Arabidopsis thaliana: one gene and its partner. The protein of the gene in region 1 interacts with the protein of each later gene in a pairwise test. Each region holds a gene or a part of one and is shown on either strand. Other genes may lie near its edges.

What was found.
Region 2: the proteins of EXO70E2 (region 1) and AT1G49850 interact in a two-hybrid assay, tested with the Arabidopsis thaliana proteins (one large-scale study listed by BioGRID).

The regions. Positions count from the first base shown.
Region 1 is NC_003076.8:24,551,163-24,558,241, forward strand, and holds EXO70E2 (exocyst subunit exo70 family protein E2), read left to right. Parts: upstream 1-2,581; 5' UTR 2,582-3,449; coding exon 3,450-5,369; 3' UTR 5,370-5,881; downstream 5,882-7,079. Other genes in the region: RPA70D (Replication factor-A protein 1-like protein), read right to left, coding at 1-262, 348-525, 626-853, 959-1,105, 1,352-1,479; ECT3 (evolutionarily conserved C-terminal region 3), read right to left, coding at 6,323-6,508, 6,599-6,745, 6,833-7,045. UniProt on the Arabidopsis thaliana protein: Influences the subcellular localization patterns of other exocyst complex proteins (e.g. SEC5A, SEC15A, SEC15B and EXO84B) leading to their recruitment to exocyst, well-defined large punctate structures throughout the cytosol.
Region 2 is NC_003070.9:18,453,880-18,459,394, forward strand, and holds AT1G49850 (RING/U-box superfamily protein), read right to left. Parts: upstream 2,741-5,515; 5' UTR 2,566-2,740; coding exon 2,353-2,565; intron 2,264-2,352; coding exon 2,070-2,263; intron 1,793-2,069; coding exon 1,447-1,792; 3' UTR 965-1,446; downstream 1-964. Other genes in the region: AT1G49840 (glutamyl-tRNA (Gln) amidotransferase subunit A (DUF620)), read left to right, coding at 1-278; GSTF14 (glutathione S-transferase (class phi) 14), read left to right, coding at 4,831-4,986, 5,087-5,135, 5,292-5,515. UniProt on the Arabidopsis thaliana protein: Probable E3 ubiquitin-protein ligase that may possess E3 ubiquitin ligase activity in vitro.

The DNA of each region.
Region 1 (7,079 bases):
CCTTCTGATTAACATACAGACCCAACTCTTCAATGGGTACGAAGTTGAATTTTGTCTCAGGGATGAACATTTCTTCGCTACTAGCTTCCTCAACCTCTGAATTTTCATTCAGTGTCATCTCATAATCATTCTGAACTGTTTTGAACTGCTTGTTAGCGAGTTTTAGTGACCCCCTTGATATATAATAAACCTTTCCCAACTGGAATCTGTCAAAAAACTTCCTTGCAGCATCATTAAACATCGTTGCTTGAATTTGTGTTCCCTGGATAACAGCCAAATAAACAAAATGAGAAACCGCATAAAGGTTGTCTATACCAAGTTTGAGAGATAGTAAGGAGCTTTCTTACTTCTTCATCTGTTAGTTCAACATTGAAGACACATCCTTCACCCCTAGCGTTTTTGTAATTTCTCATCACTCCCTTGTTTGTAACTCGGACTTTGATGGTCCAGTTTCCTTGATATGGATTTAATGACACAAGTGGATGAACCCTTCTAGTCATGGCCATTCTTGCAGCTGGTGCAGCACTGTCAAAATCCAAACGAATTTAAGCAAAACACTAATAAAATAACCATTTGACAGAGACAGTAATGAAACATTGAAGATCAAAAAAGATAATTTGCTTACTTTCCCCTTTGTTCACTCATTATCTGAGAAGCTGATTTGGCTACAAATTCCTGCTTCGGTTTCAATGTGATACCAGTAGAAACAACATCATTCAGAGGACTGACAGGAGAATGCTCTAGTTTCTGCTTCTTGGGCTCACGAGCCTCCTCCTCTCCGCTCTTACTGTCCAAGTTAATCTCAGAATCAAGCACAGAACCAACAGCCTCACATTTAGTCACAAGGAAATATCTGACACAGAGACAATAGAGAAACACACATGTTAGTAACTGTTGATTTCAAGAATCGAACCAGAGTGATTATCCATGTAAAGAAGAAGCAAAAGAGAAGTCTTACTTTGTAGATTTGCTTGAAATGTCGTTAACAGTGAAATCAATGAGACGAATTAGACCCAAGTTCTGGATCTTCCCAGAAATGATTTCAGGTGTGAGTGAAGCAGTAAACATTGCTTTGACTTTCGTCTTTCCGTCATTTGCACTAAATCTGTCAACCAAAATCAAAACAGATCCATCAGAACAAAATCGGTAACTAAAACCCAAAACTAGGCAATATACAAACTATTATCAACAAACCCAGATCTCTTCTATCATAGAGTCATCAAAGTCGTTGCATATCATAATCTAGCTATACAATTGTGATTGAGAGAATATAACACTGACCTAAAGCTGGAACAAGCGAGATTTAAGAAATCAAGTAAAACCCAGATCATGAAAAGCCAAGGAAACTTACGTATAGCGATTGCCGATAGGTTTAAGATCCACAACTTGAACAACGATCTCAGATCGATCGGAAGACGAATCAAAGGATGGGTTTGACAAAACGGTGGAGATGGCATCTGGGGTCACCGAAGTCTGCATCTTTCTCTCTAGATATTGAAAAATGAAACGTTTGGTTTCTCTTTAATCAGAATGGTGAAAACTAAAAGCCGTGAGATAGTGAGAAGAATGAGAGAGAGGTACGAGGGTTTTTGTAAAGGAGAGAGCTTTAAGCGGGAGCTATTAAATTCGATTAATTGTTCCCCCGCCGATTTCAATTTCTATTTTTTTGGCAAAAAACTCTTACCGCTTCTTTTCAGTATCTTTCCATTTTTTTGGCGCATTTTGTTTTGTTTGATAATGGACTTTGTATGCGAAAGAAACTGTGTTACAAAAGCCTTTCACTTCAGGCCCATAGTTTATGGTTTTGTTTTTATGTGTGGGTCTTGAATCCACCGTATCACACGTTATGATTCATAAATATCTAAAATTTATTTCCAACAAATACAATTTTTTTGTTTCTTAAAGAACACATACGATATTATTATTTCAGAAAAAGATTAAATACAAAATCCCCAGGATCAAAATCAAACACCAATTCCAGATTAAACAATATCAACAATCTTTAATGTTTTTGACTTTTTTTTTTCTCTGAATGTTTTTGACAATTGAAAAAAATAATTCTACGCATTGCGTGAGGCAAACATTTAAAATTTTAATTTATATAAAGAGAAAATTTATACTTCTTGACTTGGGAAAAAAAAACTTGCTGAGGTCCTTACTTGATATGAGCTGTCAACTACTAGTGTGAGCCGTACAAATATAATCGGACGGTTCAGATCAATACATTGCGAGCCAGTCAAACTTCAAGTATTGACTAATCAACATCAACGTTTATTACACTAATTTATTATTGTACCCCTTATTTTCCAAAAACATAATACTTTTATCCCTATTGTATCCAATAGCTCTAAAAAAATCCACCATAAAATGTGTTTAATGAAATTCGATTATCTCTGACGACAACATTATCAAAAATCAAGACAAGAGATAGAACATAAAATGTTCAAATTCGTAAAAGTAATTGAAACAAATTAAATTCATTTCGAAGTTTATTAATTACATTTTGACCCCCAAATTTAAGTTAATTAGACTTACCATCCCCATGGTTTTCGTCCCGCCATATGGGGAAGTCAATGGACGAATCAATCTCAATTAGATTCGGGGCGGCCCAAAAATTTATCATTTTCTAAACCTTTCGTAATCTACGAAATTACGGGATCGCCTTCGTTGGAATACTAATTCCATTTTTCAACTTTGTTTTTATAAATACAGTTTACGTGCACCACAACTTTTCTTCTTTCCCTTCTTCTTCCCCAATAATCTCGCTGAAACTCTCTTGCTCTTGCTTCTAAAAATCTGTTCTTTGAGACTTTGATCACACAGTTATCAAAATCATAATCTCTTCTTTCCTGGTTTTTTTTTTTTTCTTCTTCTTCTTCCCGTTTCACGGTACGTTTACTCTGTTCGATCACCGAGTGTATGATAAAATGTTTCTGTGAAATCAAATAACATATCACTTTCTAATAAACATCAAAATTTCTCCTTTTTTACAGAAACAAGAAGTTTTTTTGGGAAAGCCGTTGACTTGACTTTTTCTTTGGGGTGTTGTGTGGGAGCTTATAGTATGGTACCATAAGTGGGAGCTTATAGTTTGGGGTGTTGTGTGGGAGCTTATAGTATGAGGAAAAATGTTAGATTTGAAGAATGCTTCACTGATTTTTTACCATAAGTATGTCAACTGGATTAAGCTTAAGTAGTAATGGTTTTTACTATGTTCATGTGGGGATTTCTCTTCCTCTCTGTTTACTTCATTCCGAGATGACTTGAGATTTTTTCAAAGTATAGTTCTTGGAGTTAAGCTTACCTAGTAATCACTTTATATAACATCCCTTCGTTTACATTTGTGCTTTCACCTGGAAACACTTTAGACTTTTCTCTCTTCTGCCGTGTGTATTTAGTTGTCTAGTCAAATTTAAGTTGAGTTTAGGCTCTAGTCTTTGGTTTTGGTTATGGCAGAGTTTGATTCCAAGGTTCCTGTTTCCGGAATGAACAATCATGTCTTTGAGGCATGTCACCATGTTGTTAAGGCACTGAGGGCATCTGATAACAACCTGGATGCCAATTTGAGAAAGCTCCTAAGTGACCTAGAGATGCATTTGTCAACATTTGGGATTGCTGATACCAAAGTTGAAGATGCAGGATTCTCTGAGATCAAGAAGAGATTCAAAGAAGCTGTGAAGAGAATCCGCAGTTGGGAGACAAACCAGTCGACGATGTTTGAAGCTGGTCTGTCTGAAGCTGATCAGTTCTTTCAAGCCCTGTATGACGTTCAAACAGTTCTTGTGGGTTTCAAAGCTTTGCCCATGAAAACTAACCAGATGGAGAAAGATGTTTACAACCAAGCTACGGTTGCTCTTGACATCGCGATGTTGAGGCTTGAGAAAGAGCTCTGTGATGTTCTGCATCAGCACAAACGGCATGTACAGCCTGATTACTTGGCTGTTAGTTCCCGTAGAAAAGATATTGTGTACGACGAGTCCTTTGTCTCCCTAGATGATGAAGTTATTGTCGAAGCTTCTTCACATGAAGATGATGAACAGATATCGGACTTTTATAATTCTGATTTGGTTGATCCCATCGTACTTCCTCACATCAAAGCTATTGCAAACGCCATGTTTGCTTGCGAGTATGATCAACCATTCTGTGAAGCTTTCATCGGCGTTCAAAGAGAAGCTCTGGAGGAGTATATGGTTACTCTCGAAATGGAAAGATTCAGCTGCGTTGATGTTCTCAGAATGGACTGGGAGGATTTGAATGGTGCAATGAGAAAATGGACAAAGGTTGTTAAGATCATTACTCAGGTCTATCTCGCCAGTGAAAAACAGCTATGTGATCAGATTTTGGGAGACTTTGAGTCAATTTCTACAGCTTGCTTCATTGAAATCTCAAAAGATGCAATTCTATCACTCCTCAACTTTGGAGAAGCTGTGGTGCTGAGATCTTGCAAGCCAGAAATGCTTGAGCGCTTCCTTAGTATGTATGAGGTTTCAGCAGAGATTCTCGTGGATGTCGATAACCTCTTCCCCGATGAAACAGGCTCGTCTTTAAGAATTGCATTTCACAACCTGTCAAAAAAACTAGCTGATCATACAACCACAACCTTCTTAAAGTTCAAAGACGCAATAGCCTCAGATGAATCCACACGCCCCTTTCATGGAGGCGGGATTCATCACCTGACCAGGTATGTAATGAACTACTTGAAGCTTCTCCCGGAGTATACCGACTCACTAAACTCACTGCTTCAGAACATACACGTTGACGACTCCATCCCCGAGAAAACAGGAGAAGATGTCCTCCCTTCGACATTCTCTCCAATGGCTAGACACCTCAGGTCAATCGTCACAACTCTAGAATCCAGCCTTGAGCGAAAAGCTCAGCTGTACGCAGACGAAGCACTGAAATCCATTTTCCTGATGAACAACTTCCGTTACATGGTCCAGAAGGTAAAGGGATCAGAGCTGAGACGCTTGTTTGGAGACGAATGGATCAGGAAGCACATTGCAAGCTACCAATGCAATGTCACTAACTACGAGAGATCCACATGGAGCTCCATACTCGCTTTGCTCAGAGACAACAACGACTCTGTAAGAACCCTGAGAGAAAGATGCAGACTTTTCAGCCTTGCATTTGATGATGTTTACAAGAACCAAACCCGTTGGTCAGTCCCTGATTCAGAGCTCCGCGATGATCTTCACATCTCGACCTCTGTCAAGGTTGTTCAGTCTTACAGAGGATTTCTTGGAAGAAATGCAGTTCGCATAGGCGAAAAACACATCCGATACACTTGTGAAGACATTGAGAATATGCTCCTTGATCTCTTTGAATGTTTGCCATCTCCAAGATCACTGCGCAGCTCTCGTAAGAGATGATGATGATGATGACTTGAGCCTAATGGACTCCATCTTTGTTCTTTTGATCTTTTGTTATTTACTCACTTATGCAATGTTTTGTGATTGCTTACATGCAAATAAAGTTGTAGAATTTTTATACTCCATTGTGGGGATGTAATAGTAATTGGCTATCTTGTCACTATGTCATCTTTGACATGCTTAATACAAATTCAATGTTTAAGTCGGATTTAACATTTATAATGACGATGGTTTTTTGGTTAACTCTATGGACTCATCTGATTTAACTGAGGTATGGACTTGGGCTATTTGACTAGGAGATATCTTTGGTGACTTCTTACTACTACTCACCTCTGTATTCTCTGCTGGATTTTGGCATATGCAACAGCAAAGTGTTGTTGATGGAACAAGTGAAGGAAGTGAGCTAGCAGTGGAAAGAAGACTGGGCTGATTATGAATGTCAGTAATGACGTCTCTCCCCAGTCAAGAAGATAACTAGAGAATTATGCTTAGAAGATTTGATGGTAGCCTTGCTATTCTCCATCTATTCTCATCTTCGGAAAATTGTCTAAACTATAGTACCCTTATGTCCAAAAACCTACAATCTTCTGTCAAAATATGAGAAGGAACTTTTTTTGGACCGTTTGATTCCTGCATTCGAGTATGAAGCAGATGCCAAATGTTTCTCTTACTTGTCTTGCCTGAAAAGTTATATAAAACTGAATAAGCTGATTCAATACCAATCTTTTACCCATATCCTCATATGTTGGACCATTACTAAAGGGATAGAGAATAACTGCAAGATGATGAATGCTCATGCCAAAACTTCATCTACTAAGCCACTACCCTCTCAACTCGGTTCCAAAAAAAAAAAAAAAAAAGTCTGCAAATTCAGGAATGGAAACAAAACTAGAGAAACGCTCTAAATAGCCTAAAACAGCCCACCCAGTTCCCACTTAAAACCAAAGGTTGGTTCAGCAGGCAGTAGCAACAGCATTTTTCTCCACAGGTAACTCGGTCTCTTTCACCACTTTCGATTCTTTAGTCACTTCAGCCGCAACTCCTAGTGCTGCTGCATCTTCTGAGGCTGTAGTAGACTCTTGAGGTTTCACAAGATTAATTTTTGACATTACACCTTTGTCTGCATTGGCCACCAATGTCTGCTTGGAAACAATACCAAAATTTGTAAGATATTCCTGTTATATAATTATATATATCAATGAATTGTTGGTTTCAGAGAGGATTGTTGCCTGTTTTTTGATCTGCAGGTGTTTGCTTTTCCTTTCTTGGATAATCTTTTGACGATTCTCATAGAACTCAAAATCATCGAGGATGCATGTCTTGCTTGCGTGGTCCTTGAAAATCTTGATGACTTTAATGCCTTGCTCGAGCTTTACCTGCAGACAAAAAAATGGTAAGAAAATAAATGACAGCTCAATTATTAGAATACAAAAGATGATAAATAACACAGTGAGCGGACATACTTCCTGTGTGTCTCTGCTATTAGTAACCGGCTTGTTCTCATTGTTCTCCAGAGTTATATGCCTCAAGGAGCTATTAGGGATATCTTTAACGAAATGCCACTTAACAGGGAAGCAACCAATCCATTTGTCCTGTTGCCAGTATTCAACAGTCTTATTGAAATCAACAGGGCCTACCATCTCGGCTAAACCAACAAATTGTCCACTAGTGTTTACCTGCATCAATGAAAACATAAGAACTCTACAACTA
Region 2 (5,515 bases), on another chromosome or scaffold:
TTGGGGAAGTTGCTATGAGCCACACTAGGACAAAGATGGAGGAAAGATGGACCATTGAAGAAGTCGCTTTCAATGTTCCTGGTCTGTCTCTAGATTGCTTTATCCCACCCGCTGATCTTCGGTCTGGTTCGTTAACTGAAGCCTGCGAGTACTCGGGTCAAGAGGAGAAAGGGAAGAGCTCACTAGCGTTGGCTTCAACAACAGCTCATAGAGCTAAAGTTGCAGCCTTGGAGAAAGGAAGCTTCGACAATGATCCTGTTTGGCATATTGATGTCTGAGTATGGTAGGGAAGATGCAATCTGTGCATAGTAATCCTAATAACAAGACTCGAGCCTTGAAATGAGACTAACTAACCCCTTTGTTTAACAGCTCAAATATTAGGAGTTTGATTACACGATTGGTTTATTTAAGTTTCATTTCTCTTATTTTCTTTGTCGCCTTCAATATTATTGAGTAAGGTGATGGGATTTATTTGCAGCAAGAGAAGGAGAATTGCTGCTTAAATGTTGAATTTGTCTCATATTTTTCTAGCAAGTCAAAATTTCAATCTATGGAAAGTTAATTGTTAGCAAGTGAAGCTCTCTTATCTTCTTCAGCTTTCGTTGATTTTAAACTGAACTAAACCGTTTTAAGTTGGTTGAATTTGAATCATATAGGTTTTAATGTTGTCGAAGACATGAAATTGATGTGATAGAAAAAGAAAGGCAGGACATTCTTAATGTATGTATTGTTAATTTTAGTGGTTAGAGAGTGAGGTGTGTTAGGTACCCAATAGAGAAAGTGATGGTTAGGAGCAAATAAATGGGATTTTATGAAAGGAATTGAAGATGATGATCATGAATTTATGAAGAAAGGGGTCCATTTTGATATGCTTTTGTAGCAAAAAATAGCTTTTTGTGCACAACTGTCTTCTCCTTTTAGCCTTAACTTTGTTTTAAAGTTCTCTTTTTTTTGGCATAACTTTCTTTTAAAGTTGTTATAAATTGATTGAATCTTTTGATATTAGACTTCAATATATGTAACGTACATGGATGTATGATAATGACAACGTTTTGGAAGAGGAAGCAAAGCTTTAAAGTAGTATCACCAGATTGAGACAATCAAAATTTCTGAAAATGAAAACGTTAAGTTGTTGAGCTATAACCTCAAAGCATAACCAAATTGTCGGATCAAGATTTGGATTTGGAAAAAGTCTCTTTCATATAACCAACAAGACATTAAAAGAGAGATCACAGTGAATAAAACTAAAAAGATTCACACCATACGATATCAACGCTTGAACTGCCTAATGGCACAACAAAAACCATTACAAACATGTGACAGTAAAAAAAACACTCATGGGCGACAAAACTCAGAAGATCGTTTTAAGGATGTCTATAGCAAGAAGAAGAGAAGATGTGTATGGCTATGGCCTAATGGTTAGGCAAAGATTCTATTTACAAGTTTCTATTCCTTTGCTATGGCTCTACGGCAACAAGGACAATCTCCACAAGCTCTAAGCCAAGGGTTTAAGCAAGAAGAATGGAAACTATGGGTACAGGGTAAGGATATTAGCATGTCACCTTTAGTGAAACTCTCTAAACATATGCTACAATCTCTCATCTCGGATTTAACCTCGGCTGAGCTAAAAGTTTGCCGGTGTAAACAGTTAATAGCATCTTGAGTAAGACCTTGTGGTTTCTTGTTGCATTCATAGGTCACTTGAAGCCCTGCTAGTTGAAAAATTGGATCTCCATCTATAGAATGAAATGAAGACTCCCTTTGATCATCCAATGAAACTCTGTTGCTTCGACTGAATCAGAAAAACAAAGTTGAAACAAATCCGTAACCAAATTTTGAAAAAGAGGCTTCAAAGAAGATATTAAAGAATACACAAAGCAACAATAATCCACAAAAACTGATTTTTACACTAAGTCTTGACCAATCCTCACAAGAAACAAGAGCAAAATCAAAACATGCTTCAAAGAATCTTGATCAGACAAAAGCAATTATTTTTAAAGAAATCTAAAATCAGACTAGAGTGCAGATCAAGTAAAGCTGTAAAATTTATCAGTGGGTTAAGCACAGACCTGTTACTAGACAAAGAAACACCTCTCAATCTTTCGAAAAGTCTATCCCTTGCAAGCAGAACAGCTCCAGGAAGCCTCTCGGATCCATTTAGGTTAACAAAGCTGCTACTCTGAGTTTCAGTATCAGTACTATCCGTATTTAAATACTGACTAGTGCCTTGAACATCACGAATAGGTCTACTACGTTCCTGAATCTGTAAATTAGGGGAGATTTTAGTAAAAAGGACCAAATTCAGACAACTACTGAAATTAGTAATTACTAATTTGGTGGAAAGTAACTAACCGGATGGTGAAAGAAGCGTCGGAGACGGGGAGTGGGTCGCCGGAGAGGATCACAGCCGTCGGAATCATGACGCTGATTATGATGATGGACGCCGTGACGGCGATGATGATGGTGTGAGTGGTGTCGATAGGAAGAAGTGTCGGATTCTAAAGCCGGGTCGGATCGACCCGGACGTGATCTTCGTGTAGAGAAGAGTTCCGATGCGCTCGTCATGCACCGATCAATCACCAAATTCGTTTATATGATCTGAAACTAAGTGCAGCGAGTCAGAGACGATGAGATAAGGAGGACAGAGAGAGAGAAGAGAGAAAATTGCGAGGAAAAAGTAAAGGGAAACTGCAGTGAAAAGGTGACGTCATCTCCCACTTGCTGTCGGAGCTAAGACAAAACATCTTTAAAAACGGTGTCGCTGTAATAAAAAACTAAGGGGAAAAGCCCAATTATTGGGCCTATCCAAGTAAAGTCCACTAATACATAGGTCCCAAGAAAACGGGGAGAGCATTATGAAACACTAAACTGAATAAATGGAGAAATTGACGGAAAAAAAGGGAAAAAATGTTGTTTAATATACCAACTTTCAAAAAGTGGCCATTTAAACTATGAACTCCATATATGGCCAAATAAAACTTAGTAAAAGCGTTGATCGGCCATTTTATATATTCCAAAACATTGATCCGGCCAAAAACCCTGCGACGTTAGCAGTCGTTAATAGAGTCGATAATAGGCGTTAGCAGACGTTAATTAATCCGTTTAAACACAAACGACGTCGTTTTGTGTTTAATCGAAACCAACAAAATTCCCAATTCGATTCTCAATCCCTAAAATCCCCAATTCCAATTCTCATGCCCTAAAATTCCCAAATTCAAAAATCTTCAAAAGCCTCTCCATTTTTGTTCGTTTGAAGATTTTTGTGTTTAAACGGATTAATTAACGCCTGCTAACGCCTGTTATCGACTCTGTTAACGACTGCTAACGTCGCAGGATTTTTGGCCTGGTCAACGTTTTGAGATGTATAAAATGGTCGGTCAACGCTTTTACTAAGTTTTATTTGGCCATATATGGAGTTCATGGTTTAAATGGCCACTTTTTGAAAGTTGGTGTATTAAACAACATTTTTCCCGAAAAAAAATGAATAAATGGAGAAACTATTGATTAGTTAGTTGCTTAACTCAAATCTAATTGTTAATGTACTAGTTGCAGTATACAAGTTGGTTCTAGATAAAATTTTCCTCTTTTAATTTTGTTTTTTTATTGCCACTTTGTTAATTAACTCATTTATTAGTTGTTATTTAGTTGCTTTCACCCTTTATCAAACGATTGGAGCATAGTTTCACATAAATTTCCGATTTGGTTAAACAAACTCTCCGATTTAGTTCATCGAATTCGCAGATGTGAGCACCGTCGGTGTAGATGATGATGATCACGGCGGATAAGAGACGAGCTTCTTTGGTTTTCTTCTACTTAATGATCTAGATGACGGTTGATGATGATCGATTCGTAATCATCATCGGATTTTACGAGAGAAAAGAGAAAAAAAATACACGGGAAAAAAAATTAATGTTCTTTCCTCACATTACCGAACCTATGAAACATGATAGGTATGGGCCTCTTTCCAAACAAAAAATGTTCTTAGCTAAAGTGAGTTCCATCCACTTCATCACATTTTTTCTTTAAATGTTGGCTTTTTTCTAAGGGCTTCAGACCACCGTTAACGATAGTTGTTTAATAGAATTCTTAACAATTAAAAAAATAAAAATAATTAAAAGTTAAAAAAAGAGAGAGAATGAGAAATTCCAAAAACTCTTAGCTAAGAGACGATATCACAAACCCAAAGACACGTTCATCTTTATTATTGGTCTATCTATATAAAATATTTAAAATATAACTGTAAAATTAAAATATTATTATTTTTATCCTTTTATAAATTTTCATAGCATACTGGCGTTGAGGATGGTCTCACCTCTCTAGAGCTCATCTAGAATCACCGTTGGAGGTTGTCTGAGTTTCCTAAGAAAGCGGGAGATCATTATAATTATGAAACACTAAAATTTTATAAATGGAGCAATTATTGATTAGTTAGTTTACTTAACTCAAATGTCAAATCTAATAGTCTATGTACTAGTAGATGCAGTATAAAAAGTTGGTTCTAGATAAAATTTCCCTCTTTTAATTCGTTTTTTTATTGCCACTTTGTTAATTAACTCATTTCTGGTTGTTATTGACTTAGTTTCACCCTTTATTAAAACTCTAGAGAGTCTGACAGGTATTTAATACTTAATCTAAACTATACTATCATTTATCGATCGATGACCAACTCTTAGAAGGCATTTAACATTTACACCCAAAAAAAAAACTCTTAGAAGGCCGAAAGGTTATTGATTATTACATATACTTTTTCACAACTATAAATACGGAGATCACAATAGGACTCATCACCCAATAATATAACTAATCTAGTAAATAGACAAAGAAAACAACATGGCTGATTCTAAGATGAAGCTCCACTGTGGCTTTATCTGGGGTAATTCGGCAGCTCTCTTTTGTATCAATGAGAAAGGTCTTGACTTTGAGCTTGTCTTCGTAGATTGGCTTGCTGGTGAAGCCAAAACCAAAACTTTTCTCTCTACTCTCAACGTATAATCTCTCACACTTAACTCTTAACTGTTTGCATCTACCAAATTTATTTAACTTCATATGTGTTTGAATGAACAATCATTCTCTTCTTTTCTTGCAGCCATTTGGTGAAGTCCCGGTTCTTGAAGATGGAGATCTCAAACTTTTCGGTACTATAATCTTGTTTCTTATTCTGGAATTTTATTTGAAGTCTTGGATTTGAATGTGGAGGTTTTGCAAAAGGTTACATAATTATTACCTTTTCATAAGTTTCTTTGTTACCATATTTTTGCGAAATTTTTATAGTGTTTTGATTATGCATATAGAACCAAAGGCGATCACGCGATACCTAGCCGAGCAATACAAAGACGTTGGAACAAATCTATTACCAGATGATCCCAAAAAGAGAGCAATCATGTCGATGTGGATGGAAGTAGATAGCAATCAATTTCTTCCTATAGCATCAACACTCATCAAAGAACTCATCATCAATCCATATCAAGGTTTAGCCACAGACGATACAGCAGTTCAAGAGAACAAAGAAAAGTTA